Rhinolophus ferrumequinum: one gene and its partners. The protein of the gene in region 1 purifies or fractionates together with the protein of each later gene. This does not show direct contact. Links are inferred from orthologs where the notes say so. Each region holds a gene or a part of one and is shown in the gene's direction. Other genes may lie near its edges.

Region 1 (7,724 bases):
CCCTCCCACCACCGTAGGAAGTGGGGGCCCATTTTATAGAAGAGAAAAAAAAACTGGGTGTTGAGCCAACATGCCATAGGGTAGGATGTGGCAGAAATAGAATTTGTGCCCAGGTCAACTGACTCCATTTACCCAACGAGGGAAAAAATAATCAAATGCTGAGGGGAGGTAAAGAAAAAGTTCCAGTTAGGCTTTTGATGGCAGGATTAAAATGAGTCTTCAGGGACACCCAGTTTTTCCTCCAGCCAGAGAAGACAGACAAGGGCATTCAGGGCAAAAGGACCACACGGTCAAAGGCAGAGGGTCTCCCGCACGGCTAGGCGTGAGCAGGTGATCCCGGAAAAGCTGGTTAGAAGGGCATAACATTCCAAACCACAGATCCATTGAACGAGCACTTAAACGGACACCTCCCTAAGACAACCTCAAATACCCTGATATACACTTATTCCATCCCCCGCCCAGAGGGGCCGCGGCCCGTCACTTACATCTTGGAGAGCTTGGAAGCTGCGCCACCAGTCACTTTGGCGACGCGTAGCTGCGACAGTTCCACCTTCAGGTCGTCCAGCTGTTTCAGCAGCTCCTCCTTCTTCTTTCCGCGAAGGTCTCGAGCCTTAATCTTGGCCTGTGTACCAAGAAAGGGTCTAGATTAAACGCCCGGCGGCGCCGCCTACTCCTCCGGCGCTCATCGAGGCCTCCCCCACTGGCCACCCTCTCCCCGACCTGCGTCACGGTCAGCCCCAGAGGGGCGCGCGCCTCGCCCTGAGCATCCCCACCCCAAGCTTGCTACGAGGCCGGGACGCTATCCCCATTCCGCAGACTGTAAGACCGAGGCCGCGGCAGCGCGCGCGCGCACCTTTCCTAGTCGAAGCCGGTAGGAGGAAAAGACCGGTTTGAGTGGCGCTGGGCCACTCCGCACGGCGCTCCACAGGCCCAACTGGCAGATGGGACCTCAGCGTTCACCCTGCGCCCTCCACCCCAGCTCCCGAACCCTTCAGTGCACGGATGGCACCCGATTCCCCAGCCCTCACCATCGCTGCACAAACCACCAGAGCCGCCGCTCGCTCGCAGAGAAAGAGGAAGGGGGGGGCTGACCTCTGCAACTACTACCGGGTGAGGGCGGGCGCGGCCAATGGCGTCGCAGAGAGGGAGCCCCGGCTCCGCCCCTTCCGGCCCCCGCCAACGCCGCGAGGAACACCTTGGTACCGCCAGCCCAATCCCTCTGTAGTCCCTGGTTCTTCCAAAGACCCCGGAGGTTATTTGAGTCCCACGGCTTGAGCGGAGCAGTTGAGGAAACCACGGCCTGCCCGGGATGAGAGGCAGTTTAGCAGAGATGGCATAGTGAGGATTCAAATTCGTCCACTCAGTCGTTTATTTATTCATTGACTCATTTATTTATTGGGTAAATCTTTGCAGGTCGCCCAGTTCGTGCTGCTCTGAGCGTGGCACCTGTGTTCAGGGAGTGGAGGAGATTAGGTTTGAGGGTTTTCAAAAATGAATTAACACGGCCCCAGCCTCAGGAATTTAAAGTCCGATGTGGGCGGGGTCAGACAGCTATAATCCAACTCCATAAATGTTTTAGTGGAGGCAGCCATGTGGCCGGGGAGCGAGCATTCATAAGCCTTATTTAGTGAAACTGACCCGTTTTCAGATTCTTGCTCTGTTGCCTGGTGTTAGCTAAGACTTGGTAAATACCTTCCCCTCTTTGAGTCTCAGTTTTCTCATCTGTGAAATGAGATATTTATGAGGATTTGGATTCTATCACCTAGAAAATTCTTATCACAAGACCTGATGCGTAACAATCGCTCAAAATACCGGTATTAATGTTCCCAGTGAAATGAACACTTGAGTCGGGCCCTGAAAGTTAAAGGGGAATTCACAAAGCAAGGAGGGTGCTCAGGCTGACACAGCAGTTTTATTGTTGTCCCAACCAGCAATCAGTGCGTCAGTGTCACTCCATTGCCATTAAAAACATACCAACACCTCTTTGAGCTCTAGTTAATGCCAGATTGTCCCCTAGTTGCTATCAGGTGTCACTTCCAGGGAGCCTTCTCCCATCCCCTCCTGGAGTTAATGATCTTTAGCCTTGGAATAAATTGGGACACAACCTGTCTTGTGTCCCAAGCTTTATGTGCAATCCTCTCTTCAGCCCCAGAGTTCAAATGTTTATGTATTATCTCCACAGCCAGCCTGGAACTTCTCTGGGGGCAAGAACCATGGTGGACACCTGGTTTTCCTAGTCTCCAGGACCTGCATGTGGATGCTTGTTGGATGAACGAATGAATGAGCCTTACCCCAGACCACAATGAGAGACTTTTAGGAAGTGGAGGGATATGGGAAGGAGAGGGCAGACAGAGGGCAATGTGGTCATGGATTAGTTTTAAATGGAAATTGAATAGTGCACAGGGTCTTTGCTGTCACATTTCCCAAATGCTTATAGTTCTATTAGAGATACCGTGTTTCCCCGAAAATAAGACCTACCCCGAAAATAAGCCCCAGTTAAGATCTCAGCCAGACACATTTAGTTCGTTATGATAATATTCCAAAAGATGACATGACTGTATTTGAATAAATGTAGATTGTTGTACATGAAAAAGTAAGAAATCCCCTGAAAATACGCCCTAATGGAGCAAAAATTAATATAAGGCCCGGTCCTATTTTTGGGGAAACATGGTATACAGTTGTATACATCTTTTCTGGATTTGAAGGCATCTGTGACTCCCGTTCCTCTTACATGCCACATCTGAGCCAGCACCTAATTCTGTAGCCTCTGCCTTCAAAACATACCTGATCTCTTCCCACCACTCTTATTGGCACCTGCCTGGCCTGAGCTACTACCATTGCCTGTCACCTAGACCATTGGTGTCCTCTTAAATGGCCTCTCTACTTTGGCTCTTGCTCCCATGTGTTCTCAATACAGTTGCTGGAGGAACCCTTTTCAAAGTTAAGTAAGATCACATCACTGCTCTACCCAAAATTTCCAGGGCTGTCCCATGTGAGTGAAGATCACATCCTGTCCTCAGCCTACAAAGCCCTATAGAATCCCCTCCACTTCCATGTTCTCTCTCTCTCTTCTGATCCAGTATGGCCTTGCTGTTTCTGGCATACACCAAGCCTGCTGAGCCTGAGCCTTTGCCCGGCTCCCACCTTCACTTCCTTCAGGTCCCTGATCAGTGTCACCTCCTCAGGGGCACTTCTCTTGACCACTTTAAGGTACTCACTCCCAGGCCCTGCATGTTTGGTTTTTTCCCCCTCAGCACAGTCATCCTGACATAATAGAGGTTTTTAAAATTCTGCCTTCCTGACTGGAATGGAGGTCCATAGTCATAAGCACGTACATTATTTCATTCACCAGTTTATTTGGAGGCTATTTCCTTACTTGTAAAATGGTCATGTCTGGTGTAAAGTTCCCTCTGACCAGGATGTTCTGGGGACACGAATTTCTGTCTGGTGGCCTGCCTGGGTCACAAAGATTTCTTCCAACATATGGAACTGAAAGGCAGATGGGCTTTGCCTGTTTCCAGGACCCCTGGGACTTTTATTCAGCACCTTTTTCCACACTGTAGGAGTATCTTCAGCATCCAAGATACCATATGTACTATAGTCTGGTGTAGTTTTCGATCTGCAGACACAGTTCAATGAGAAATATTCAAATCAATAAAAACAAGTCACATTTCATTAACTACTGGCCTTTATTAAAAAGAGTACTATTACATGAAAGCAAGGACCCAGTTTAGTCTAAGGCTAAGGCCCATTAATGGAACCCTTCAAGTAACAGTCCAAGCATCTAATCCTAGCACCAGAGGCGTCTTTGACTCTGCCCTACCCCCTCCCATCCCCATCTCAGACTCTGGGCTTCCTACCAGGATATGCTCCCCAGCCAGACACGACTTCTTAGCTCCCAGGACCTCGCCCTTCTTGCCAGGATGGCGGCCACAGGATCACCTTCATTTCTGCACCCCCACACGCAGTGCCACCGCACCCTGAAGTCCAAAGGTCTTCATTATCTTGTCAGCACCCTCAATACACTTTGAACGTCCTTAAAGTCTCCTAGTCCATCAACAATAGGGTCACTGTGCACAAGGCAGAGGCCGCCTCCTCTGAGCTCAGTGTGGTGGTGTTCACGGCTCCTAAAATCTGAGACTTAGGATCCTCTACCTCCGTCACTCCCCGGGGCATAAGAACTACTACTAATCACTCAGAACCCAGCTCGAAGATTTCTTCCCCAAGAAGCCTGCCCGGAATTGACATGCCAGAGCCCAGCTCCTTCTCCTGCGGGCCCCGTGCCCTCTCAGTCTGGGGCAGTGATGACCCCAGAGTTCGCGGCTGTGCACACGCCGGTCCCTCCAGGGACAGGGGCTCCTCGAATGCAGGAGGGAGGCCGAAGAACGAGCGCAGTAATTGCGTCCACGAGGCCCGGCCTGCATGCGGAGAGTGCGCCAGCTCTTCAGACGAGAAGACTGAGGCGCCACGAAGATGGGACACTGGCGTGGGGGGGTCGGGGCGACTACCACGCGGATAATCGCGCGTTCCCACCTGCTACCCTGCCAGTCTCCGCCCCTGCATCCCACCTATACTTCCGGTTCCGGCGTGGGCCGGAAGTGGGCGGGCAGCGGCTGCGCGCGGAGGAGGTGGAGGAGGAGCCGGGCGGCTGCTTCCCGCCCCCGAGAGCGAGCCGGTTCGGAGCGGAGTGGAGCGGAGGTCGGGTCCGGAGCAGAGCCGGCTGAGCGGGCGCTGAGCCCCCGCCATGGCCCGGAACACGTTGTCCTCGCGATTCCGTCGGGTGGACATTGACGAGTTTGACGAGAACAAATTCGTGGACGAGCAGGAAGAGGCGGCGGCGGCGGCGGGCGAGCCAGGCCCGGACCCTAGCGAGGTGGACGGGCTCCTGCGGCAATATCCTTCCCAAGCGGGGCGCTCTGGGCTCCCCTTTGGCCCGGCCTTCTCACTTCCCTCACCCGGCCCTGGCCCCTCAGGCCGGCTCCCCACTCGTCTTACCCGCGACCCCTCTGGTGGGTCTCCCAACTCCCTTCCAATCCGGCTCCCGTCGGGCCAGGCTGCCTCAGTCTGAATACTCCCCACTTCCCTCTGATCCGGTCTCCCCACTCCTCTTGTCCCTGGCCCCGGCTCCCGGAGCCTCCCTCAGCAGCGCAGCCCCACGCGGTCCCTAGACTCTGGTTGACCGGCTCTCTCGGCGGCCCCAGTAGTATGCCGGACGTGTCTCCGGCCCTAACAGGCCGCTCTCTTCTCTGTGAGGCCTCTCGTTCCTTCCCTTTGCCTCCTCATCCCTTCAGGCTGTCCTTTGGACAGCCCCATCTCTCCATCCCTCCCTTGCAGGAAATAGGGTTATACTAGGGCTTGACCGGTGGGAGGGACCGAGGTGAGCCACCGCTGAGTAATTGAGCGGCCAGGGCGGCTCCTGGGCACACTTCTTGGCCCGATTGCAGCACCACACTAAAATAGGTGGGTGGATGGCTGCGGGGAAGAAAGGACACAAGAGGGAGCGAAGGCTAAAGTCTTAGTTCAGACCTGAGGGCTGGGATTGCGCACCTTCCACCCCAGAATCAGTCTGACCCTTCAGCTTAATGCCACTCTTTCTCGCGTATTGTTTCCTACGAACACCTTGGGCTTTGGACCTTGATGGGCTTAGCGACTTTCAACAAGTGTATTTTGCCTCCCTGCCCTCAATAGCCTTCTTGTGCAGGAAGCAGTGGTAAAAAGAAAAACTAGTAGTTTAGAGCTAAGAAAAACCAGAGAGCAAGAAGTGAAATGTAAAAGTAGATCCCCACAACTGGAAATAACTATTTTCGTGGCCACTGCAAACAAGCATTTAGAAAACAAGATTAAAAATAGAGGTGGTTGTCACAGCCTGCTTGGTCCCTTAGCAGTTTGAACACAGGAAACTGACTTATTCTCACAGGAAGGATTTTTCTTTATTTAAATGGTGTTACAGGAAGTGCCTGCCCCTCCTCCACACTTGCCCAGGGTAGGGTTGGAAGCTCATGCTGTATATAAATCAGGTTCTGAGTGTTTAATCAGTTGACTCAGCTTGGGAAGTCAGGCCCATAGACTGCCTTTGGGAGGAGTCCTCAGTGTTCCTCCAATGTGCCTTTAAAACAAAAACCTTCAGACTTTGTTTGGACAGGAGTGTGTTTTCCAAGGTGTGTTTCCTGCCCCATCATGGTCACCTTGCTTACCCCATTGGCGAAATGGAGGCATGAAAATGGCCCCAATGAGGGAAGGCTGATTGTGCATCTGGAGTAGGACCTCACTCTTGGGCATGTGGTGCCAAAAGGGCTCCAGGGTCAGGCCTATGGCCCAGAACCCTCCACAGATGGGAGAACAAGGTCTGGTTATCTGTTGTGTTGGTCCTGGTGCTGCAGGCATTTGTTGAAGGTCGTCTCTCATATGCCGGTGACTAGTGGTAGGTTCCTTGTGACTGCTTGGAGGCTTGGCTTAGCACCGCCAGGAGATAGCAGTGTCTTCACTAATGGCAGTATCAGAAACCTTGTTGCCATGGAGAGGGTACCCCCTGGGATTGGGGAAAGGGAGGTTCGTAGATGAGAACTGAAATCCTAGCAAACGTGGGACCTAGGGAGGGGGGAGGAAGGAACTAATATTTAGAGTCCTTACCATGTGCCAGATATTGGACTTATATTAGTTGATTGAATTTAAATTGTAGAACAGACTTCTAGGAGTTTTAGGACAGAGGTGAGGGGAGAAGGGCTAGGGGTTGGTTGATTGAGTGGGAGAATGTAGGGAGGAGACCTGCCCTAGTACTGCATATGAAGCGAGTCATGGTGAGATAACACATGAAGTAAAAAGAACATGGGCTGTGTACCCACACATACACCCACCTCCATCATACGATAGCTGTGTGACCTTGAACAGGTCACATATCCTCTCTGAAGCTTAGCATCCTCTGTTAAAAGCAGGAGAAATGCTGGCCTTAGGTTCCATGGGACCACTGCTGGACAACATTCCAGAAGGCTTCGGCCCAGTGCTAGGCACACAGCAGGTGTCCTGGACGTGCAGCTTGGGTCTGTGGGTGGAGTGCAGCAGGGGACTGTAAAAAGAGCTTGGCTTTGGAGTCAGGCATACTTGGGTTTGAAAGGCCAGCTGGACAGCTAGTTTTGTGACCTTGGGCAGGTCAGTTCCCTTCTCTGAGCCTCAAATTCATTGCCTTTAAAATGAGAATAATGATTCTTGTCGCAGAGTCGTTAGCTGTAATGAGATGACATGTGAAAGCACTTGGCACACAATCTGAGACCTTGTAGGGATTTTAAAGTAGTAGTAGTTCCTTTTCTTCCTCGCTGAAGCACCTTCGGTCCTCTGGGGCAGAGATCTGTTCAGAGCAGTGGTTTTGAGTGCTTTTGCACTCTCTCCTCCCCCTGAGGAAATGTGGCAATATTGGGAGATGTTTTGATTGTCACATCTTGGGAGGTGCTACTGAGATCTAGTGGGTAGAGGCCAGGGATGCTGCCAAATATTGTACGATGCATAGGACAGACCCCACATCCGTCATCTGGTCTAAAACGTCAGTAGTGTCGCGGTTGAGAAACCCTGATCTAGAGGAGACTATGGTTGGACACGGCTCCCTAGCCTGCACAGCCGGATCTCTGGAAGGGCCTGAGGCCAGCTTGGTAAATGGTGTGCCCTCCCTGCTCCCCAAATCTCCCTAGCTGCTGTAGGCCCTCTACCCATCCACACCTACAGTGACTGCTTGT
Region 2 (7,202 bases), on another chromosome or scaffold:
ATAGTCAGTTATACAAAGCTTTTCATCAAAAAACATAGTCCTAGTTGAGCACTGATTTTTTTTTTCACTGGACTTGGCTCTGAAAAAATGACTTTTGGCCAATTCCAAAAGTTAAATCTACCCACAAAGAGCCAAGATTTGCCACCAATGAAGATATTTAAAGGAATGTGCTACAGGCTCTGAAGGCAAGTCTGCAGGAGCCCTTCCAAAAATATTTTGCACAATGGTAGCATTAAAAGAGTAAGCACATAGGCCCCAGGATAACTTTTGTGAAGAAGAGGACCAGCTTTTAGACATTTAAGTCTATATGTTTAAGTAACAAGTCAAAGAGTCATTACTTTATAATTATGCCACATTCCTCTTTGTCCATAAGATCACTCTGTAGTTTATAACATGCTTTTGTAAAATTCAACCTTTAAAGAACCCTATACGTTAGGTTTTTCTGCCCATTTTACAGATGAAGAAACAGATTAAAGAACTCATATTTGAGTCTCTTGATTCCAAGTTCTGTGCTCTCTTCATACACTAAGTTAGTTGTCTAAGGTCACACAACTTGGGAAGGGAGAAGCCAGGATTCACAGCTACCTCCTCTGACCACTAGGCTGCATGGCCCATTTATCCATCTGCCCTTAATCAATGTTCTCTGTGGATTTGATTGCTCTGCCAATTTGCAAATAGTCTTCCCTGCAGCAAGTACCTAAGTTGATTTTTTAAAAAAAATATTGATAGTTTTAAAATGGAGATTGAGAGACATGTGAATTTCTTAGACATTTTAAGATCCAGAGACATTGGCTAAGCTGGCTTTAAAGCATTGGACAACCCCAGGAAATCTCATGGTAACTGGTAACCAATACATCAATCAAAATTAAATAATATTTGTGGCATTACAACTAAAGAGCCCTAGAAAGAGGTCAGAACCAGGTTTTGGTCTGGGCTCTCTTCCCTAGCTTCCCTAAGATACTGGGGAAAAAAATCACAAACTTTGGGCTTCTGTATCATTTAGAGTTCTTAAATTTCTGCAAGTAATGGAAACTGATTATTACTAACTTAAGCAAAAGGGGATTTATTGGAAAACTATTGCAAGGCTCACAAATGCTTGAAATGTTGGGGACCAAGCTTGGAAACTCATAACCAAGCACTTGGTTGACCTGATCTAAAAGGAAATCAGAATGCAATTAGGGAGTAATGAATGCAGGGCAGTCAGACAAACCCTGACTATCCACCACTGCTTAGGGTAAGCAGGAAGGGGACGTATGCAAAACAGGGTGGTCAGAAACGCTTTCTTCTTTTGTACATCTGATGGCTCTACACAGTTGAGGAAGCCTGAGCCACCACAGCACTAGACTGACAAATTTGGCATGTAGCAAGCGGGAAGTAGAAGGAGTCTTAGGCAAGCAAAGTGTTTCGGTAGACAAATTATGAGGAACAAACACAAATGACACTTCTAACAAGCGTTGGAAGCTGTCAAACGCTTCTAACAGTCACAGCCTTTACAGATAACGGACATTCTTGACTATGTAAAGGAGACAAGGGGGGTAGGTTTTCTCATGCCTACAAAATGAGATACAGTATGTAGCACCAACATGAGCTTCATGTTTTAATGCGGTGCACAAGAAAATGTTAAAGAGCCTCTCAAATCACAAGTTGAAAACTTGCAGCCCGCAGGTCAAATCTAGCCTGCAAAGAATTTGTGACCAACAGAGAAAAATACAGACTTACAGCTTTTCTTGAAAAAAGGGAGGCTCTGGCAACACTGGATCTGCACTCTGTATGGCAACAGTTTTCTACGGTCTTCCATCAAGATGTGGGCTCTCCACATTGCCATTCCCTCATTGCCCTCTTTACTCATACGTCACTTGCCTGGACCCTGGGAGCAATCCAGTTTCTGACCCTTAACACTGCTTCCATGGCAACCCACCCAAGGCAGCGGCGTGTAGGCGGCCATCTTGATAATCTGCCAGTGTGGGCTTCCCAGAGAGACCTGTTTAAGTTCCTAACTTCTGTCCTTGGGACCCTTTTGGTAGGATCCCCTTGTTCCTGACTTACACCTGTAATGCTGGAAACAACCATTTACTCCACCCCAACCAAGCCACATCTCCCTCTTCTGTCAGTCTATCTTCAGGCATCTCCTCTTCCAAATGACCAAAAATCCCTGATGGTGGAAAAGGCAGCAAAGAATCCCTACTTAGGATCTTCTAAAATGTAGGTAAAAAACAACTATATATCTGAAAAAAGAACCACTTGTGTTTGACTTCTTGGAAGGCAATCTCTGAGGAAAGCTTACCCTCAGAATTATTTCTTTATTTATGTATTTGCTGTGAGTAGCTGTGGATATGATGGATACTAACTGATGATAACTCCCCTGAGTCTCTTCTGCACATAGCTGATCCCATCTGGATCCTACTCCTCACATACTTCTATCCCTAAAAGCACCCACTACAGGACAGAAGATGATTCACTCCACTCATTACTATATGGGATCCATTCCCTACATCATTTCTTTGCTTAAATCTCTTTGATGGCTTCCAAGTTGCTTTTAAGCTAAACTTTAAGATGCTTAGAGAAGTCTGCTAATCCTTGCATTGTTTGCTTCTTCCTTATTTCTCAGACTTCACCTTCCTTTGCATCTTCACTGACTCACTTCACTTTGACCACTTGGGTCTTTCAATTTGTGGACGAAGCCAAACTCTTTCCTCTTTCCCACCTCAGGGCCTTGAGGTTTGCTGTTCCTTCTTTCTGGAGAGCTCCCCTTTTTTCTTACCCTTTCACCTAACTCCTACTACCTCCGTCCTAGGCTTTTAAATGCCACTTTGTCAGAGAAGCCTTCCCTGTCTTCCACTTCCCTCCCATTCTGCCACCTGCCATCCCCATTTCTCATAGGCTTGTAACTTTCTGGTTCCCTGCTCTCTGCTTTCTATTATTTTTCAACACAATTTGTATGTTTCCCCACTACACTGTACTCTATGAGAGTAGAGACCTTAATATTTTGTGCATACTGAATATTCAGGGTCAGCAACTGTTGTCATCATAATAGAATAGGTGAGCTATACTTTTCTATCAAAGAAATGAAAAACCCACATTCCACCCCCCAGCCCAGTCTAACACCACACTATGTGTGATCTTCTGGAATTAGACCTCCTTTCTTAGTAAAAAATATTTTTATTTCATCCTTAGATAAGCAAATCCACAAGGTTTATCAGAAGACAATAAACGTAGTGGAGAGGAAAGCTACTAATCTTCTGGTTCCCAGACCATCATCACCTGGGATCTTGGGAGAAATGCAAATTGCCAAGCCCCACTGCAGACCACATAATCAGAGAACTCTGGGGGTGTGGCCCAGCAATCTGTTTTAACAAGCCTTCCAGGTAATTCTGATAAACACTTAGAGTTTGAAAACCATTGTTCTAGGCTTTCCAGTTTTTAATCTTTTTCTTTTGATTTTTTTTTTTTTTGGACCTGAATCCTTGGTATAATCCTGCTAGTAGAATAGTATAAACTACTCCAGAGGGAAATTTTTGTCATCATCCAGAAGCCTTGAATAAAGGCCTATTTGTGTAGAGTATATTACGTAGGATATATTCTCGGGAGGTTTGATGTTTGCCCTCCTTATGGGAACAGGCCTGCTCTGGGTGGGTGGGTGGGGGGCACTACAATTTAAACATGTTATAATAATTGTAATGTGCAATGTTGTAACAGTGCACAAGTGTAAACGAATAAAACCTCGGCATGAAGGCAGAAGAGCCACAGTGCAAACCTTTGTTCATCCGTCCCCCGACTGCTCACCATCGGTCTGATACTGCTCTTTTCCACCCAGAAAAGCAGCCACTCAAGGTGTAAGAATGGTTGTGTGCTGCTGACAACGTTTTCAATTAGGCCGTTTTCCCCGGAGCACGGAAGATATTCGTGGCTGCGGGATGCGGTTCCATCCTCCCTCAACCTAGCATAGAAGTAATTGAAACTAAAAGCCCCTTTCAGCTTCCGAAGAATTGGAGACTGGGGCTGACTTCTCCGCCCCTACACTCTAGGAAAACCCGAAGTGGATTTCATTAACGTAGGGATGGGAGCCGCCGCCGGTGACCACACGTCATTGCGCATGCGCTCTCACCCCTCCCGCTCGGAGCCGGAAGGGGGAGCGCTCGCTGCCTGGGCCTGGGCTGGCCAGGGCGTCGGCACCGGCGGCCATCTTGACTTCCCGGGGAAAGGCGGCGTGAGGGGGAAGAAGTTGTATGGTGGGGGCAGGAGTGAGGAGGAGGGGAGAAAGAGGGGGAGGAGGCCGCGGCGGGGCAGGGCGGGGACTGCCTGCCCGCCTGGGTTGCGGAAGTGGTAGCGGCTGACCGAGCCTGCTGCTTTCTCGCTACTGCTTCGGCTTCCCGGCTACCCCCCGGACAGAGAGCGGCCCGGCTGTGGATGGTGAGATAGCTCCAATCTCCTGCCGCCAATCCCTGGCCACAACCGGTACGGAGCAGACGGCGGCAGCGGCAGCAGCAGGAGAGGAGGAAGATGGCGGGACGGCTGCCGGCCTGTGTGGTGGACTGTGGCACCGGGTAAGGGGACTGACGAGCGGGGGTGGGGAAACTGAGGCTGAGGTAGGAAAATGGCGGGGGAGGGAGGAGATCGGCAGATGAATGGTGCGGCAAGGTGCCGTCGCCGGTGGTGTCAGTCCTCGCCCCGCTGTGTTGCGAGGGGTGGGGCCCGGAGAGGCAGGGCCTCCCTTGTCCCCTGGTTTCACCTCTGGGACCCGGGCGCGGGGCCGAGAAACCCCCGGGAGTGGATTTCTCCGCGCTCCTCCTCCCGGCCCTTCCCCCACCGCGGTGGGCAGCGCCGCCCAAGGAGATGCGGGGACGGTCACCTCCCCGGGGCGCGCGGACGCGGTGGGGGTGGTCGCCGAGCCGTGGCACCCGGCTCTCCTTTCCTTCCGCACCCTGCCTGCCTGGTGGGTTTGGGCATCGAGCGCGGGGACTTGCCTGGCAGAGGAGCGAGAAAAGAGAAGCGCTCCGTGTAGGTTTTGCAAGATTGCTGTGACAACACTGCCTAGGGTGTGGGTGGGGGAGTGGGATGAATCGGACTCTGAAAATGGGAACCGAAATCGGGGCTTTCATTGGACCACCCACCTCCTCCTCCTCCTCGAACGCCCGGTGTCTGTTCCGTCTCCCGCTGCATTTTAACCGGTGAACCTAGTCACATTTTAATTTGAGAGAGAAAGAGGTAATGTGTTACTTCTCTTGCTTCAAAAAAGTCCCCCAGTGAGCAAGCGCGCTGCAACTTCCTTAGTTTTGTCAAAGCTGCTTCCTGCTTTCAGTCTTTTATACCCTTATAAGGTAGTTTTTCGTTTCCAACCTGAACACATCTTATTAGAACTTTGAAAATTAAGCCGATTTTAAATAGACTGAGTTACTGGTGCTAGGTATCAATTTATGTGAACCTGAAAAATTTATTTGTGTTCTACGGGAGGGAGGAAGGGAAGCACCCGGGAAAAGAAGTTCATTCTGTGACGGTATCATAAAGAGGGAAGGAAGGTATAGAGTTATAAAGGGTTGTGCTGGCTTTTCAAAGAATTCTTACAGATCTGTACTGTAGTTTACTAAAATACAGCGTGGCGTTAACGTGGTCGTTCTTTCTGTATTAATGGGCATTGTAGAGAGTTATACTATACTTTGTAATTACATAGAAAATACTGTATTTTCTAGAATGCTTTATTTTACGATATTGGACATGTTTTCTTTTTGTGCGTGTGTGCTATGTTGATTTATTATTACATCTCTTAATTCCCAAAATACTCCAATTTTGGGTGAGGGGGTTGAGAGGTGAATTGCCAGCCTTCTCTCCCCCCTCCCTGTTTATTATTCAGCAAGCTGCTTTTTCTTAAAGATGGTATGCTCCTCCTCCTCTTTGCTCCCTGTAAAATTTCATGCTAGTGTGGCAGTTTCTGAAATCCCAACCATGCATAGGGAAATAACCTATTTATTAATATTTTCCCTTGGGAAACATTAGCCTAGTTTAGCCTTGGGAACGTCTATGTATTTTTTTGATGGACAGCTTATTAATTTGTTTTCTTAATCCAGTCTCACTTCCCTAAACCAAGATTTCTCTTTTTATTTTAATTGGTGAATAGTTTTATGTTTAGGTTCATTTTTAAAATTAGATTTGGCCTGACTGAGGAAGAATTTTCAAGTGTATTTTGTTCAAGTGAAAAATACTGCTACATAATTCATATTTATGCTTTACAAGTGACTGGATTGTCAATAAAATTAGATAATTGTCACCCTAATAGCATGGTAATATCTGAAGTAGGATGTTACTTTTTCTTCATTCCCCCCCCCCCCCCGTTGGAAATACAGTTTTGGTTATTTTTGAATTAGTATACTAGGTATTTCATTGAAGTTAACTGTCCTTAATTGACCTTCTGATAGGACAACCTTGAATTTAAAACACCTGCTGGTGTAGGTGTAGGGAGAGGGGTTCAGTACTTAGGATATTTTTGTTTTAATATTTCAGTTACTACTACGTTAATACATTTTACATTGTTGCATTAGTTTTATCTTAAAAGGAGGACACTCATGATTTGAATGGAACTAATTAGGATTCCCCATTTCCTATCACTTTTACCATCTGTCACAGTCTGAAATTCTAAGAGATCCATTTATTTTGGTTTGCAAGGCTTTTGGTCTTTCTGTTGCATTTCTTGGAATGTTACTCCTTTAGTTTTATTAAAGCACATAGATAGCTCCTTGAGATTGGGTCTGGGGTAAGCATCTCTAACTAAGGCCTTAATAGGGAGTTTTATGTTCTAGAATACTGTGGTCCCCAGATGCAAATCGTGCACCTATAATTTGTGTGTTCCTTTGTGCTTTAGAGAATGCATTCATGCATATCTTAAGTATCTAATTGCAGTTTCCCACTTAATGTCAGTGAAAAATTATAACCTTAATCAGGTTGCTCATTCCATTTCATTATATAAGTTAGGCAAAGGTGACAAAAAAAAGTGGCCATTTATGGAACTTGGTGGTCTCAGGTGAGAAAAGCTGTAAGAATTAGGAAACTTGAAGCTTAATCCCAGGACTTAAAGATCCCCCAGCAAAAATCCTTTATCTCGATATAAGATGATGAATCACCTAAGCCAAGATCATAAAATAGCTCCTTTTGAAAAGAATTTAGAAAGGAGCAGTTCTTTCATATGATACCCTATCTGCATGCTTTTTTGG
Region 3 (7,229 bases), on another chromosome or scaffold:
CTCATGTTATTTTACACAGTAAAATGCTATACAGGCTTGTAGCCTAGGGGCAACAGGCTATACCATAGTCTAGATGGATAGCAGGCTATACTATCTAGGTTTGTGTAAATGCACTCTATGATGTTTGCACAAAAAAATGAAATTACCTAATGATGCATTTCTCAGAATGTATCCCTATTGCTAAGTGGCACATGACTGTATTTACAAAAGTGTGGATGTAAGGGAACCACAAGAGAGAATGCAGTAATCCAGTACTAACAGCAGCCAAGCTGATACCACACCTAGGCCCTAAGAGTTGAAGGGAAGGGATGGTTACCAGGACTTGGAATGAAGAAAAGAGTTTTGCTGAGGTGGCCACTTTGACAGAAGCTGTGACATTCGGTTGAGGGACAGCCAGCCTGAGGTAGCAACCTCACAAGGAAGAGGAAGCAGGGGATTAATTACTCTGATCTGTGTGTGTGTGTGTTTCTCTTTCTGTCTCTCTCTTTCTCTCTCTTTCATCTATCTATCCGTCTGTCTGTCTGTCTGTCTGTCTATCTATCTATCCATGCCTCCTTCCCGCCCGCCCTCCCTCCCTCCTTCCCTTCCTCTTGCGGTTGGGACTTCTTATTAGCTGACCAAAGCCCAAGTGCAAGGGGCCCAATTGATGTGGGTATGGAGAGAGGTGAAGAGTAGATCCAGGGGACCAAATGGAGGCTAGCCAGACATCCCCTCAATCCCAGGATGACTCCCAGCCTCTATCTTTAAGACTGAAAACGGAAAATTTCTCGCTGTTTGAGAACAGTTACTTTCTCTACTTTGGCCATCAAGGTTCAGCGGGATGAAGGTTCAGTCAGGAAGCTGTTTTCATTATTTTTAAACGGCATGTCAGGTCCAGGTTTTTGTACTCTGATTTTATCACACTTGAAACTAAAATACTAAACTATCCTGCTCAGTAACGGATACAAGTGTTGCACAGTAGTCAAGAGCATGACATTTGGAGTCTGAATCCCAGCACAATAACCAGTCACATACATATTCTTCAGCCTCTCAGCACCTCACTTTCATCATCTACAAAATGAACTAATACTAGTGCCTACTTCTTAGAGCTGTCACAGGGATTCAATGAGATGATACATGTAAAGTTATTAAAACAGCACTAACACCGAATAAATACTAAACCTCAATAAACATTAGCTCGTAATGTCTCCAGCCAGCCATCTCTCAGCACTTCTCCCCTGCAGCTCTACCCACAATTTACTAATCTGCTTTCACTTTCTGCAAGATGTCATGTTATCTGGCCTCTGAGCCTTCATGCATGCCTCTCTAGCTGCCTAATTCTTATTTTATAAACAATCAAATGTTTTTTAATATCAATTCATTTCAAAGGCTAACAATACCAAGTGCTAGCAAGGACAGTGAGCAATGAGAACACTCATATGTTGCTAGTGGACACATAAATTGGTACAACTAATTTGGAGACCAATTTGGCAACATTTAGCCGAAGCTGAAGATGTCTGTAGCCCACATCTCAGCAGTTACACTCCTAAAAACATGCCTTATAGACCCTTCACACCTGTACACAGGAAATATGTATAAGAAAGTTCAAAGGAGCATTGCTTATAATAGCAAAAATACTAGAAAGAACTTTAATGTTCTTCAACAGGAGAATAAATGAACACTGAAAATCATAATGCATAATAATATGATGGAATGCTATGTCACAGTTAAAATAGCTACAAGTAATTCCATAGGTGAATCTCAAAAATGTACTGTTGACTAAAAGAAACAAGTTTCAAAAGAGATTACAGTATGATACTATTACCAAAAAGCTTAAAATCATGAAAAATATGCTATACATTGTTTACATATGGATACACACATATGTAGTAAAAGTGTAAAAATATACTTGGGAAGGATAAACACCAAATGCATAGTGATACCTACATTTGTGGGTACAGGGAGGGAGATGAAGGAGAGAAGGAATGAAATTGGGTAGGGTTCACGGGACGTTTCAACTATTTTTTTAAAGCTCTGAAGCAAGTTTAATATAAAATGTTAAGATTCAAGAAAGCTGGGGGGTGAATACAAAAATATTTATTTATTCCATTTGTTATAAGTTTAAATAAACCAAATGCAAAATTTAAAAAAAAATTGGTTGAAAATCTGTTCTAGATCCTCAAGCAGTCAAGTGATTATACCCTTTCCCACCCAACCTATCCCACTTCCACCCTGTCCTTCATCTCCACCACCATTTCTACAGAAATCCATTTTCTGTAGATTCTAGCCCAGTGGAAGGTAGTAGGGGAGGGACAGGGCTGATAATGGCATCAAGTGGAAGTCAGCTGTGACCCAAAGCGTCTTCCCTGCTTCCATACACTCTAGGAATGTTTATAAGCTCGGCTAGGAATACTCACAGCCAAGCTTACAAACCCCAAACACAACTGGAGGATTCTTCTCCGGAGAAGAGACCTCCCAATATTGACATTCATGGGCCCCCAATGAAATCCGGCACCTCATTGTTGCATCTTACAGGGAAGTCCATCAATACAGTGCTCCTCACAACGTAATGTGCATTGTGACCATGTTAAAATGCAGGAAATGGGCAAAACCAGATTGAAACAAGAGGAAGGAAGATCCTGGGATGAAGATTCTACAGAAAAAGTGGAACTTAAGTATTTGAGTATATGGAAAATATTGCTAGATTCTTTGACAGTCTTAGAGCACTTGTGGTGGTTGAGGGACAGCCAACTGTGGATATATAGAAAATTGACAAGTGAGAGAAAAAAGGCAATTATCAACTCCAAGAAAAAATGAAGGGCTGTATAAGCTAGAAGACATAGTTGTAGTACACTTCTTGGCTTATTGGTAAATAATATTTACATACATAATAATTTAAATGCTGATTATTGGTTTAACCAACAATTGTTACATAACTATGTCAAGGGGTGAACAGAAGTGATAGAGTCACATTCTTATCTATCACCGCAGGAAGTCAGCAGATAATCCTTAAAATTAACAAATCAAGAATTAGTCATATAAACATTTATTTAGATATATGGATCTAATCAAATGAATATGTAGAAGGGTTGAGGATCAGTCAGTGAACTGATTTTTTTTCATTACAAGCCTTTAGTATAGGTATATATTTTTAAAATACATATATGCATTATTTTAGTTCAATAAATGTTAGCGTATAATTTGGGGGCATCTGCAATTTGTTGAAATTTATCCATGGCTGGTAAACAAGGAAATCCGTTTTAAAGGGCCGTCTGGGCCTTGATGACAGGGGCCAGTTTTTCATTCATTTTGTTGTTGATATTCCTCCCCTCCCCACCTCCAAGACCACTTGGCAGAAAATATATCATTGCATGGGGAAGGGACTTAACTAAGTTCGTTAGATTCACCCTGGAGGAGGAAAAATACAACACAAGGCACACACAGGCAGAAGGTGCAGATATAGCACAAAAATGAGTTCAGATTCTTGCTGATGAGTAAGAAGGCATATGAGGCAGAGAGAGGTACTGGAAGGTGAGGGTTTCAAAGACAAAGACCATCATGTCCCAGCACCCGGAGGCAGCCCCCCAGGCACAGAAATGGAGGAATGACAGGAACCCAGGGCGGCCCATCCAAGTTGCCCTTTCACCTTGATGACTTCTCAGTCCTTTCCTTCACTGTCATCTAAACAATGTGTCGTTATATAATTGAGAGTTTATTTATTGTCTGCTTCCTTTACCAGACTATAAGCCCCACTAGGGCAGGACCTAGTCTATTTCATTCACCACTGTATCCCCAGCACAGAACAGCAGCCCACTAAATATTCGTTGGAGAAATGCGTGATGATGACGCTGGAGAGTCATTAGTGTGGCATGAGGAAGGGGCACACCTCCAACGAACAAGACGAGAGCAAAGAAGCCGGCTGGGAAACGAGAAGAGCAAGGTACTTGGCTGGGGGGGAGGGGGGTCTCTGAAATGACAAGACCGGAAGGGTGGAGCTTGACCTCTGCGACGAGCGAGCGGGAGGGAGGGGCTGGACACTAAGGCACGCCTTGGGAGACTACAACCGGCTGGGAGACATACTTGCAGACACTGGATCCGAGCGGGTCTGTGGGAAAGTGGAGGCGGGCTGGCGGTATTACGCGTGCGCAGGCGCAGCCTCCGTTTCGCCCCGGCGCGCGCGCCTGCGTGCGCGCGCACAAGAGATTGGAGCGGAAATGGAGTCGCGGGGCCGCGCGTCCGGGCGGCGAGCGGAAGTGGGTGTGAGAGCGGAAGTGGCCGGCTGGAGCCGGGGGCTGGGCGGGGACCGGGCTTGTCGGTGAGGCGGCAGCGGCGGCGGCGGCGGCTCGGCAGGCGGGTTCAGGCTTCTGGGGCCAGGTGGGTCGGGTGGGTGGGTGTCTCCACAGTCAGAGCGTGCGCGGGCAGCGCGCGCGTCTCCCCCATCCCCGTATCCCGCTCCCTCTCCCCTTCTCCCCTAACCTCCTACCCCACCCAGCCCCCCTCCTCAGAGGGCAGCAGGACCTCTCTCTCCGTCCTTCTCTCCCTTACCCACCCTCACCCGCCCTTGTTTCTCCTTCCCCTGCCCGGGGCAGCCGCCGCCATGATCCTGCTGGAGGTGAACAACCGCATCATCGAGGAGACGCTCGCACTCAAGTTCGAGAACGCGGCCGCCGGGTGAGCGCGCGCCCGGGGCCGGAGGGCGGCGGGGGAGGCAAAGTTGACCCCTGCTAATCCCAGTGTCGTTGAGCACCCTCCAGACGTGAGAGAGATGGGGAACCTGGCCGGGTGTGGGGACTGCCCCGGCGGAGTAGACGTGGGAGGCGATTGGGCGCGGTGGGGTGAGGGGCAGAGATGCGTGGGGAGAGGCTCAGAGGAGGGATGCGGAAGCAGTGAGTGGACTGGAGTGCGCGTGCTAAAGGGCAGGAGACCTGTGGGACGTGGGTGCAGCTTGGGCTGGGACTCACGCAGGAGGATCCCATTGCCCTTTGGAGCGAGCAGGGGACCGCTTGCCTTCGTATTCCCCGTCATTGTTCCGAACCCGAAGAGAGCCCGTTTGGATTGGGTTGGAAGGAGTTTTCCAGGAATTCCCAGGGCTGGAGGAGGGAAGAAGAGGCAGGCTCAGACCGTCATCAGCCTTCTCGCTCCCCAGCCCCAGCTCGTCATTTAAAGGAGCAGGAAGAAAGACTGAAAGTAGACCCACTCTTGCAGCCAGAAAAACGCGATGTCTGTAGTTTCCTTTCCCTGAATCCTACTGAGAGACACTGGTCTTTTCGTTACACATTTCTCAAGCAAAGCTAATAGTCTCCTCATCCACACCTCTTCCTTATCTCTGTTCTGAGATACTCATTCACTTTTCCCCACCCACTAGCCTTTATCTGGTTATCGTTTCCATTCTTATACCAGACCCCTGGTCAGATTTCTTCCTCGGTAATCCTGGCCCAGGTACACACGTGAAAGCCTTCAGAGCCTATAAAGGTCTCGAATAACCTTTTTTATCATTGGCCTTTTTAAAGGTGGGCTTAGGACAGATTTCAAGGCAGCCTTCTCTATCAAAACACAAGAATCGGTAAAGGACAACCTCCTCCCTCAAAGCTGCTTTGCTTTAAAACATGAGCCAAGGAATTGCTTCTAGCTTCTTATTTTTGGTGCTTTGTGGCCAGTCCCTGTGCCTCGTTTCCCCATCTGTGATGATGGGGCTTCACATCTTGGTTGCACAGTTGAGGAAATAAGTGCAAACTGCTTCTGGTGAACTGGGAACTAGGCGGGAGAGGATTGGAGGAGGGGAACTTCTAAGTGGTCATATGAACTTGTGGCTTGGAGGCATTAAAACAAATACTTCTAACCCATTGTTTAAATTGAATATATTGTGTTCCTCCTATCTCTTTTATAAGGCCACAGATTTTATCTGTAAAACAAAGCACAACTTTCCTTGAAGTGAGCAGTAGCAGTAGCTATTGTTTCCTGCCAGGGGCTGCAGTAGCTTATATTTTAAGCTAATTTGCTTCTTGTATCCAGCCTCACTTACCAGTTCCTTTGTATTTTAAATGTTCAAGCGAATCAGCTCAGAGTCTTATTTTGGGTGATTACAGTGTACTTTTTTGAGCACTGCAGCACATAGGAGGAAGTTAAATTGACTTCTGCATTTTCACAGCTGATCTTAAGTGCATTCTCAAGTCCAGACTAGTAAAGAATGAGACCTGGGTGGTTATAAGCTGATCCACCAGATAAATGCCTGCATTTTCAAGTCGAAGCCTGCCTTATAGGAGTCCATTTACATCTATTTGTGTTAATAACTTGATTCCAAAATGTAACCCATTATTCGAAACTTCAGCTCTTTTCGTTTTAGAAAATTACTCTTAAAAAGAACAACTAATCATTTCAGAGGAATTAAAGTAGGCACTCAAGTCTGGAAGGCATAAGTTAGAACTACTAGGCCATTTCTAACAAAGTATATTTTGTAGCGGTGTTGGGTATTGGGGCAGGGCAGCAAGTTCTGGCTCTTATTCTGGCCCATCTTCCCTTTCAGCTGTGACTTTAAATAAGTGGGCTCAAAACATATTCTGCTAAAAAGCACTTTGAACGTCTTTGAATAGAGACCATGATATCCTGCCTAAGAGGTAGGGCTTTCCTGGAACCTAGCAGAAGCCAGCTTCCGAACCCGAGTGTTAATTTTCAGGCATCCCAGTAAGATGAGGCGGCAGTGAAGTACATAGGTATTTACCAAGGTGCATGCCTGGGGCAGAACCTCCAGCAAAGGATAACTCGTGTGATAATCATAAACATGTATGAGATTCTACCAGTGCTTACCAGGCAGCAACAGAAAAAGAGAGCCTTTCTGAGAGAGCCTGTTGGCCAAGTTTACAGTGGAGCTAATGGGTGAGTTGTGTGGGGGAGAGATCAGAGAACGATACTAAGGAAAGGGAGTAGCTTGGAGGAGAAACCCTGGAGATTTGAAAGGCTTTGCCAGTGTGGAAACCTGTGGGGAGAGGTCAACTCCACCCTGCTTGACTGGTCTCAGAGCAAACCAATTGGAGAAATGACGGTTCAGAGCAGCCCTTTTCAGAGTGAATCTTCCAACTCTGTGATGTCCTATAGGACAGGACATGTAGCCAGTAGCTACATGTGGCTAGTTAAGTTTAAGAATTCATTAAGGTGAAATAAAAATTAAGTTCCTTAGTCACAGTTTTAGTGCTGAGTTGCAACACGTGGCTAGTAGCTGTCGTGTTTGGCAAGCGCACATGTAGAACGTTTGT
Region 4 (7,213 bases), on another chromosome or scaffold:
CCTGATAGTAATAGTCTCGTAATGTTCTTCATATAGGTCAGATTGAGTTGTACACGCACCTGCCCGTGATGAAACAGCTGGTCAAGCAGCTAGAACAGTGGGAGTTCCGAGTCTGTGGAGTTTTTCTGGTTGACTCTCAGTTTATGGTGGAGTCGTTCAAGGTTTGATGATAAATCTGTTGTTGATTTTTCAGTTCTGGGTACAAGCAGATGATAGTCTCCTTTAATCATTGTGTGATTCTGAACATTTCACAAACTATACTCCAGAATGATTCAGTATCCCTTATTATTAAATTATTATAATAATGTATTTTTAATTCATGTGATAAATTATGATATTATATAGATTTGGGGGAATTAGAAAAATGAGGCAGATAAAAGTATTTTTAATTTTCTGAGGAACTTTTGTCTCGTTTGTGAACTATCTAAAACTGTATTTCTCATTTAGTAGCTCTTAAGGAATTTTCAATGGAAAGGTTAAAGATACAGTCTGAAATGAGATTTGTGATCACTGTAGATTAAATCTACATCTTCCTTCCTTATCCTCACCTTTGAAAACCAAGGGTCAACCATCTGATGAGTGGACCGTCTTATGTTTAGGATTAGCGTGTCTTTGACTTTTCTTCCAGGGAGGAGCAGAAGCCTCTCTTTTATACAGAGACCCGGGAGCTTTGTGGGCACCAGTTGATTCATCTTCCCTTTCCTGTTTCCTCCTTCAGTTTATTTCTGGCATCTTGGCAGCGCTGAGCGCTATGATCTCTCTAGAAATTCCACAAGTTAACATCATGACAAAAATGGATCTGCTGAGTAAGAAAGCGAAAAAAGAAATTGAGAAGTGAGTTCATGTCTTCCATTGTCATCAGATCTCAATTGCAGAGATGAATCTTCTAAACTTTGTTTACATGTGACGTTCTGTCAGTCTATAAATCCAATTTCCTGATTTATTCTTCCTTTAATTCATCATCTCTTTTTCACTTTTAAAGGTTTCTAGATCCAGACATGTATTCTTTATTAGATGATTCTACAAGTGACTTAAGAAGCAAAAAATTCAAAAAATTGACTAAAGCTATATGTGGACTGGTAAGCTTCTTAAGTTGTTGTTGTCGTTTTTCAATGCCCTGGTTAGTAGGTGTTTACTGGTTTCTAGTCAGTGGCCACCATTATGGAAAGCATGATCCAACCCAATTTCCTTGCAAAGGGGAGGTGGTGGTGAGAGGCTGTGGGCTAGCCAGTCAGCAGTTTAATTTAGAAGCAGTTATTGGCAGTAGCCAAAAACTTAACTGACATGTCTATTATTCCAAGCCATATTGGGAGCTCAGAACTGCCCTTTTGAAATTTCCAGTGGTTGTTGAATTCAGATAAATGCTTATTAAATAGTGTCTAGTTAAGTAATAAGTTGAGTGTTCTAAGTAGGTCCGAGGTCAGAAAAACATTGATTTGCTGTCATTCTGTCACTGTCTATCTCTACCCCCTCACACACAAATGGTTTAATCAGGAGTATAAATGGTTATAAAACGCAAATATAAGTTGAAAATTAAGTATTTTGCACAATTTCTGAATGACCCTTTCTGAAATCCCCAATTTGTAGATTGACGACTACAGCATGGTTCGATTTTTGCCATACGATCAGTCAGATGAAGAAAGCATGAATATTGTATTACAGCATATTGATTTTGCCATTCAGTATGGAGAAGACTTGGAATTTAAAGAACCAAAGGTAATTTCTGGTTTAGGGTGTTTATTGGCTTTTGGTAGAAATGTTTGTCGGCACTCCCTGGCATCCTATATAACCCCAGGAACTCAATTTTTGTCTCAGTGGCAGCAATAACCTGGGCTTTTCTGGGTGATCTCTGAAACTGACACCTGAGCTCAACGAGCAGTATCACTTTTACTCTACTTTTTTTTGAGGCAATGTTACTGAGTTATGTTTCTTTATACTCAGAGCTTGGGGTATATGCAAAGAGGAAGTAAAATCCAATTGAACTTGGACTGCTGTCACATGTGTCAGTGGAAAGACTATTAATGGTTATTGTCAATAGGGCACAACTTAGTTGAGAATCGGCGTGAGTAAACTCTGTGAAAAATGCTCCTAATGAGAGAGAAGCACTTACTACCACATATCTGGAAATAGTCTATCAGTCATGCCTTTGTTACTATTAACTATTACCTGTGAGTAACATCTGGAGTGGTGCTGGGTGTTTGCTCCTTACAGAGCATTACCTGAAAAATATATAAACACATACTAGGTCTGAGGGGAAATGAATGTATGTTCTATTTTGTGTTTCCTTTGTGTCAGGAACATGAAGATGAGTCTTCTAGGTTTGATGAATATTTTCAAGAACACCAGAATGAATAAAGAGTTTACTAAAAAGTGACTATGTATGTGAAGAGCTTGTGGCTGAAACATCAGAACATTCTTCTCAAAGGATGCAATACAAGAAAGCTACTTATTTTAATGAAAAAAAATAATACTTGGCTGTTTATCAGCAGCATGCTTGAATCAGGTTCTTAGTTATTCTTGAAACTACTGCTGTTTAAAGTGGAGTCTTGTACTAATATTTTTACAGCACAATTTAGATTTTAAAAGTTGAAATTGAAATGACTGCACATAGATTTGCATATAATATAAATCAGCACCTGTGGTACAATTAAGACCTGTAAACAGTTTGATTTTTGTTATTTTTGAACCTTTTTTTGGAGGGACTGGAATTGTTTTAACAAAATATACATATGTGTGTCTAGAGGAAAAAAGTTGGAAGAATATAGATAAGGCCATTGTTTATCCGTATCTTCCAGTTTTGCTACATTGAAAATGTATTATTTGTATAATTAAAAAATGAAAAGTAACTATGTTTTAAGATAAATATGTATATAAATAAAAGAAATAGCACTGACCTTTCATTACAGTCTTGTTCTCCAGTCAGAAATTGAAATACTCAGCCAGGGCAAATTTTTGAATGAGTAAATTTCCCCAAGTAGGGGAGCTTGACATGGTTCTTCCGACAAATTTACCAGTGGGTGCCAGGCACTGGGAAGCATGCAAGGCAGACAAAACCTTACTCTCATGGAGTTGACATGTTGGGCCCTTGAGACTAACCATAAACAAGGAAGCCTCTGATAAGGAATAGGAAGAAAACTAATGAAATGGAGAGTGACTAACAGGCTGCTTTGGGCTCATTGTCAAGGCTCTTCCTAAAAGGTGCTGTTTGGCCAGAGGCCTAAATGAGAAATCCATTATGGGAACATGGGGCAAAGTCCCCATGAGGGACTGGGAGAAGAAATGGCCCCAAGCAGCAGTGAACTTGGCTTTTATCATGAGTTGCTTTCCAGTAATAGTTTAAAAATTCCTGAGTCTTTAGTATATTCCAGGCATGTAAGTTCTAAGCACTTTGCATGCAATTCATTTCACCTTCACGAAACTGAGGTAAGTACTGTTATCTCCATTTTTCAGATGAGGAAACTGACACACAGGTAAATTAACTTGCCCAAAATTACACAGCCAATAAATGTTGGAGTTGGGAATCTAACTCAGAGTCAGTTTCTCAACCATCACACAGAATTACAGTACAGAATAATGCACAATTCCCTCTCACTGTGCTCTCCCCATTTTTAAAACCAGTGGTTTGGTCATACCCCTGAAAAACCAGTTATCCACTGCAAACGAAGCTCAGAATGAAAAAGGCTTCAGGGAACTAATACGTGAAATATCGCTATAAACCGCAAAAGCAGTTGAAGAGAATGAAATTTTTGAAATGACAACAACAAAAAAGTTGGGTTCATTCATTCACTGAACAAGTATGCTTACCGTATACCATCACTGTTTTAGACACGGGGTACACAGCAGTGAACAAAACGGACGAAATCACTGCCTTTTTGTTTACATGGATGGGGAGATCGCGGGAAATAAACACCGAAAGTAAACTAAATAAAAGAATCATAAGATTCTTTTAAAAGGGAAAGAAGGATGAGGCAGGGAGTCCAGTGGGGTTGAATTTAAAATAGTATGACAGGGAATGCTTCACTGAAAAGGGGCTCTTTGAAGAAACAAAGGCGAGCACAGATATGTAGCCCCCAAACACACTGCCCGCTCCACGTCTCACGCCTGCGCAACACTCGGTGTTCGGCCCCCCCCCCCCCCCCCCCGGCCCTTTCGGCTCTGCGCAGCCGCAGCAGCCAGCGGCCAGACAGCAAGGCCGGAAGCGCGCGTCCTTCCTCACCGCCCCTTCCGGCTCACTTCCGCCTACCCCGCCCGGGCTGCCAGGCCGGAAGCCCAGCGCTCTAACCCGTTCCTGCTCTTCATCTGGGTTGAAACTCGGGGGCCGCCAAGATGCCGGTAAGGAGCCCGAGTCAGGGGTGTGGGGAGACGGCGAGAACTGGGGAGAGCGGCGGACATCGTGCGTGAGCTGAGAGAAGTGGGCCAAGCTGGGCAGAGGGAGCGGGGGACAGAACGGGAGAGGGGAGGGGGCCAGTTCTTGTAGGATTGGGGCGGCCTGATAGTGTCGGCCAGGAGGGGCGGAGGCGCGGCAGAGTGGGCGTGCAGAGGGGGTTGCTTCAGCCCTTCCGGCCCCCTTCTCTCCAATCCCAACCCTGTCTTTGCCCCTTCTGCAAGCCCCCAACTCCGGCAGTGTCCCCAAAACGTCAACAGAGCCGCGAGGGCTTCGCTTTTTAGTTTTCATTTTTCAAGTCCAGGGTCTGGCTTCTCCTTTTTTCTGAAGACCCACTTCCTCCGTCCCAGGGGGTGGGTCCCTTCCGCTGCTTGTCATTTGTCAGACCCACTTCCCTGTTGCGCCGGCAGTGGCGGCCACCAGAGCCAACTCGAGGTATGCGCCCGGTTTCCAAATGTTTCTATTTTCTTGTGCATCAGAGTAGGAGAAAAATTGGTGGTGTAGTTTCTCTTCATTTCTGGCAGCCAGTCTGCGAGGTAGTTTATCGCCCTTACAGCCTCCATTTTGCAGATTAGGTAAACAGAGGTTCAACAACATGTGATTATTCAGACATTACTGAGCACGGACTGCATGCTGAGCACTGTTACAACAGTGAATAAAGCCAACAAATCCCTGCTTTTAAGCAGTTTACATTTTAATGGGGAAGCAGACACATGTAAATAAAATAAAGGAGATCGTTTCTAATAATGACAAATGCTATGAAGGAAATAGATGGGTAACAAGACAGTAGCTGGTGAAAGGCAGGGTGCAGGCTGCTTTAGATGAAGCATACGTGTGATAAAAAGAAGCAGGCCATCGTCATAAATACTTTATGAAGCATATAGCTACCATTTGACTCGATATGTGCCAGGCAGGCCCTGAGCTACACACGTTATATAAATTATCCCATTTAATCCTTACAGTGAGCCTATGAGGTAGATATATTATTGGTTTCACATTTTGCAGAGGAGGGAGGAAACCGAGGCTCAGAGAAGTTAAGTAATTTCCCTAAGGTTGCACACTAGTGCAAAGACTTTGATAAAGTCCGATTTTAAACCAGGACGCTAAAGCCCTTTGCTCATTCCATTTGCACATAGAGCACCCTGGACTTCCCCTTTGTTACTTATTTAATATCTGTCTTCTCTGTTAGCCAAAAGTTCTTTAAAAATGGAGACCGTACTGGTCTTGTATACCATTATATCACCGTGCCTTACACTTAGAAGGTGCTTAGTAATCATTTGGTGACTGACTGAATGAATATATGAATGGGGCCCATGTCTTCTTTAAAAAGTTAGACATCTTATAAAAGGCAGAACGAGGACTCATATACAAGTTGCTCTCACAAATATGATTTTTCCCCCCTCTCATCCTTTAATTCACACCTACCCATTGAAAGCAGTATATCTCTTCATTTTGCAAATTTGGAAACCAGCTAAGAGAAGAAAAATGGTATCTCGATCAAAGACAGAAAGCCAGAAAATGGCAGCGCTGAAAAGCCAGTGCTTGGGCTCTGGCTTAACAACAGCTGGGGGGTGGGTACCTCTGATCTATATGGTGTTTGCCTATTTCTGTGATGTAAATACTCCCATCAGTTACCAGTGTGATGTCACTGAACGTGGAATTGAAAGAAATGCACAGTAGTACCACATTATATAGTATTTCCGCCCTAAAGATACAAAAGGCATGAATAACTTCAAGCTCACAGACAACAGTATTTTTTAATAGGAAGTAATGAATTTTGAGTATTTATTATCTTTGTTTTTAATGTAATTTATTGCAAATTTATATAAGTTTATTTTTAATAACAGCTGTGTTCAACAACCAGCTTGGCTCAAAAATTCCTAGAAATTTAACAGTTGGTTTTCATGAGCCAGTAAGAGCCAGCTCCAGCACACAGCTGCCACCATCTCTTCTCCCTCTTCCTCTAGTTAATCTGGGGTGGGTTACTCTTTTTTTTTTCCCTTTCGGAGAAAAACACTTCTCTGCCCTGCTGACGTTTGCTCTCTTTCTGTTTCTGTATTACCTGGCGTGCCAATACAGGCTTACCACTCTTCTCTCATGGACCCCGACACCAAGCTGATTGGAAACATGGCACTGTTGCCTATCAGAAGTCAGTTCAAAGGACCCGCCCCTAGAGAGAGTAAGTCGAAACCCCTTTCTGTTATTTTCAGATTTTGGTATGAAACATCGAACAACCCTCTGACATCAAATCAGGGAAATTCTTAGCTCAGGCCTCTGTTTCACATTGCTCCTGTATTTTCTGTTTGCTTGGTGGATATTGCTTTTTAGGCCTTTCAAGATATAGGTATATGTTGTATCTAATAGGAAACTGTTATTGCTGCTGATTTCTCCAGGACATTTTGTTGAGGAGAAAGAAAATGTGCTTAATTCTCTACACAGTTTTCTGTCGTCACTGTCAGTTCTTACAAACTAGTGCTGCTACTTGTAAAGAATGCCATGTCCCTACCCCTTATCTGTCATTAAGCTGGAAAAACACAAAACATATTTTAACCTCTTCCCCATCTAAATCTACTTTCTTGATCGATTTTTCAGGATCTCCATATTTAGCAACACCTCGATCTTAAATCTGAAGCGTCCTATGTAACATTACTCATTTCTTCTCTTGCTTTTCTGAATTACATAATTCTGCTTTCTTTCTTGGTACTCCTTTTTAAATCATTTTTTACTGTTCAGAAAGCCCCATTCTTTTCAGACCTTGAGACTCTTCTGACACATTCTTAGATACTCTGCCAACAGTGTAATTTGTATTATATTAGACATGGTTTCCCT

The links.
Region 2: the proteins of ARPC5L (region 1) and ACTR3 purify together in Homo sapiens (affinity purification with mass spectrometry; 6 studies listed by BioGRID and IntAct, counting the BioPlex papers as one, with this or other methods). This does not show direct contact. The link is inferred for Rhinolophus ferrumequinum from reciprocal best matches to the Homo sapiens genes ARPC5L and ACTR3.
Region 3: the proteins of ARPC5L (region 1) and ARPC2 fractionate together in Homo sapiens (co-fractionation; 7 studies listed by BioGRID and IntAct, with this or other methods). This does not show direct contact. The link is inferred for Rhinolophus ferrumequinum from reciprocal best matches to the Homo sapiens genes ARPC5L and ARPC2.
Region 4: the proteins of ARPC5L (region 1) and ARPC3 purify together in Homo sapiens (affinity purification with mass spectrometry; 7 studies listed by BioGRID and IntAct, counting the BioPlex papers as one, with this or other methods). This does not show direct contact. The link is inferred for Rhinolophus ferrumequinum from reciprocal best matches to the Homo sapiens genes ARPC5L and ARPC3.

The regions. Positions count from the first base shown.
Region 1 is NC_046295.1:74,632,428-74,640,151, forward strand, and holds the start of ARPC5L (actin-related protein 2/3 complex subunit 5-like protein), read left to right. Parts: upstream 1-4,708; 5' UTR 4,709-4,744; coding exon 4,745-4,893; intron 4,894-7,724. Other genes in the region: RPL35 (60S ribosomal protein L35), read right to left, coding at 486-622, 1,029-1,031. UniProt on the Homo sapiens protein: May function as component of the Arp2/3 complex which is involved in regulation of actin polymerization and together with an activating nucleation-promoting factor (NPF) mediates the formation of branched actin networks.
Region 2 is NC_046291.1:85,710,420-85,717,621, forward strand, and holds the start of ACTR3 (actin-related protein 3), read left to right. Parts: upstream 1-4,181; 5' UTR 4,182-4,500; coding exon 4,501-4,544; intron 4,545-7,202. UniProt on the Homo sapiens protein: ATP-binding component of the Arp2/3 complex, a multiprotein complex that mediates actin polymerization upon stimulation by nucleation-promoting factor (NPF).
Region 3 is NC_046291.1:17,016,967-17,024,195, reverse strand, and holds the start of ARPC2 (actin-related protein 2/3 complex subunit 2), read left to right. Parts: upstream 1-4,210; 5' UTR 4,211-4,353; intron 4,354-4,568; 5' UTR 4,569-4,576; coding exon 4,577-4,650; intron 4,651-7,229. UniProt on the Homo sapiens protein: Actin-binding component of the Arp2/3 complex, a multiprotein complex that mediates actin polymerization upon stimulation by nucleation-promoting factor (NPF).
Region 4 is NC_046308.1:6,137,278-6,144,490, reverse strand, and holds the start of ARPC3 (actin-related protein 2/3 complex subunit 3), read left to right. Parts: upstream 1-4,193; 5' UTR 4,194-4,326; coding exon 4,327-4,332; intron 4,333-6,463; coding exon 6,464-6,563; intron 6,564-7,213. Other genes in the region: GPN3 (GPN-loop GTPase 3), read left to right, coding at 37-161, 719-834, 983-1,079, 1,588-1,716, 2,296-2,355. UniProt on the Homo sapiens protein: Component of the Arp2/3 complex, a multiprotein complex that mediates actin polymerization upon stimulation by nucleation-promoting factor (NPF).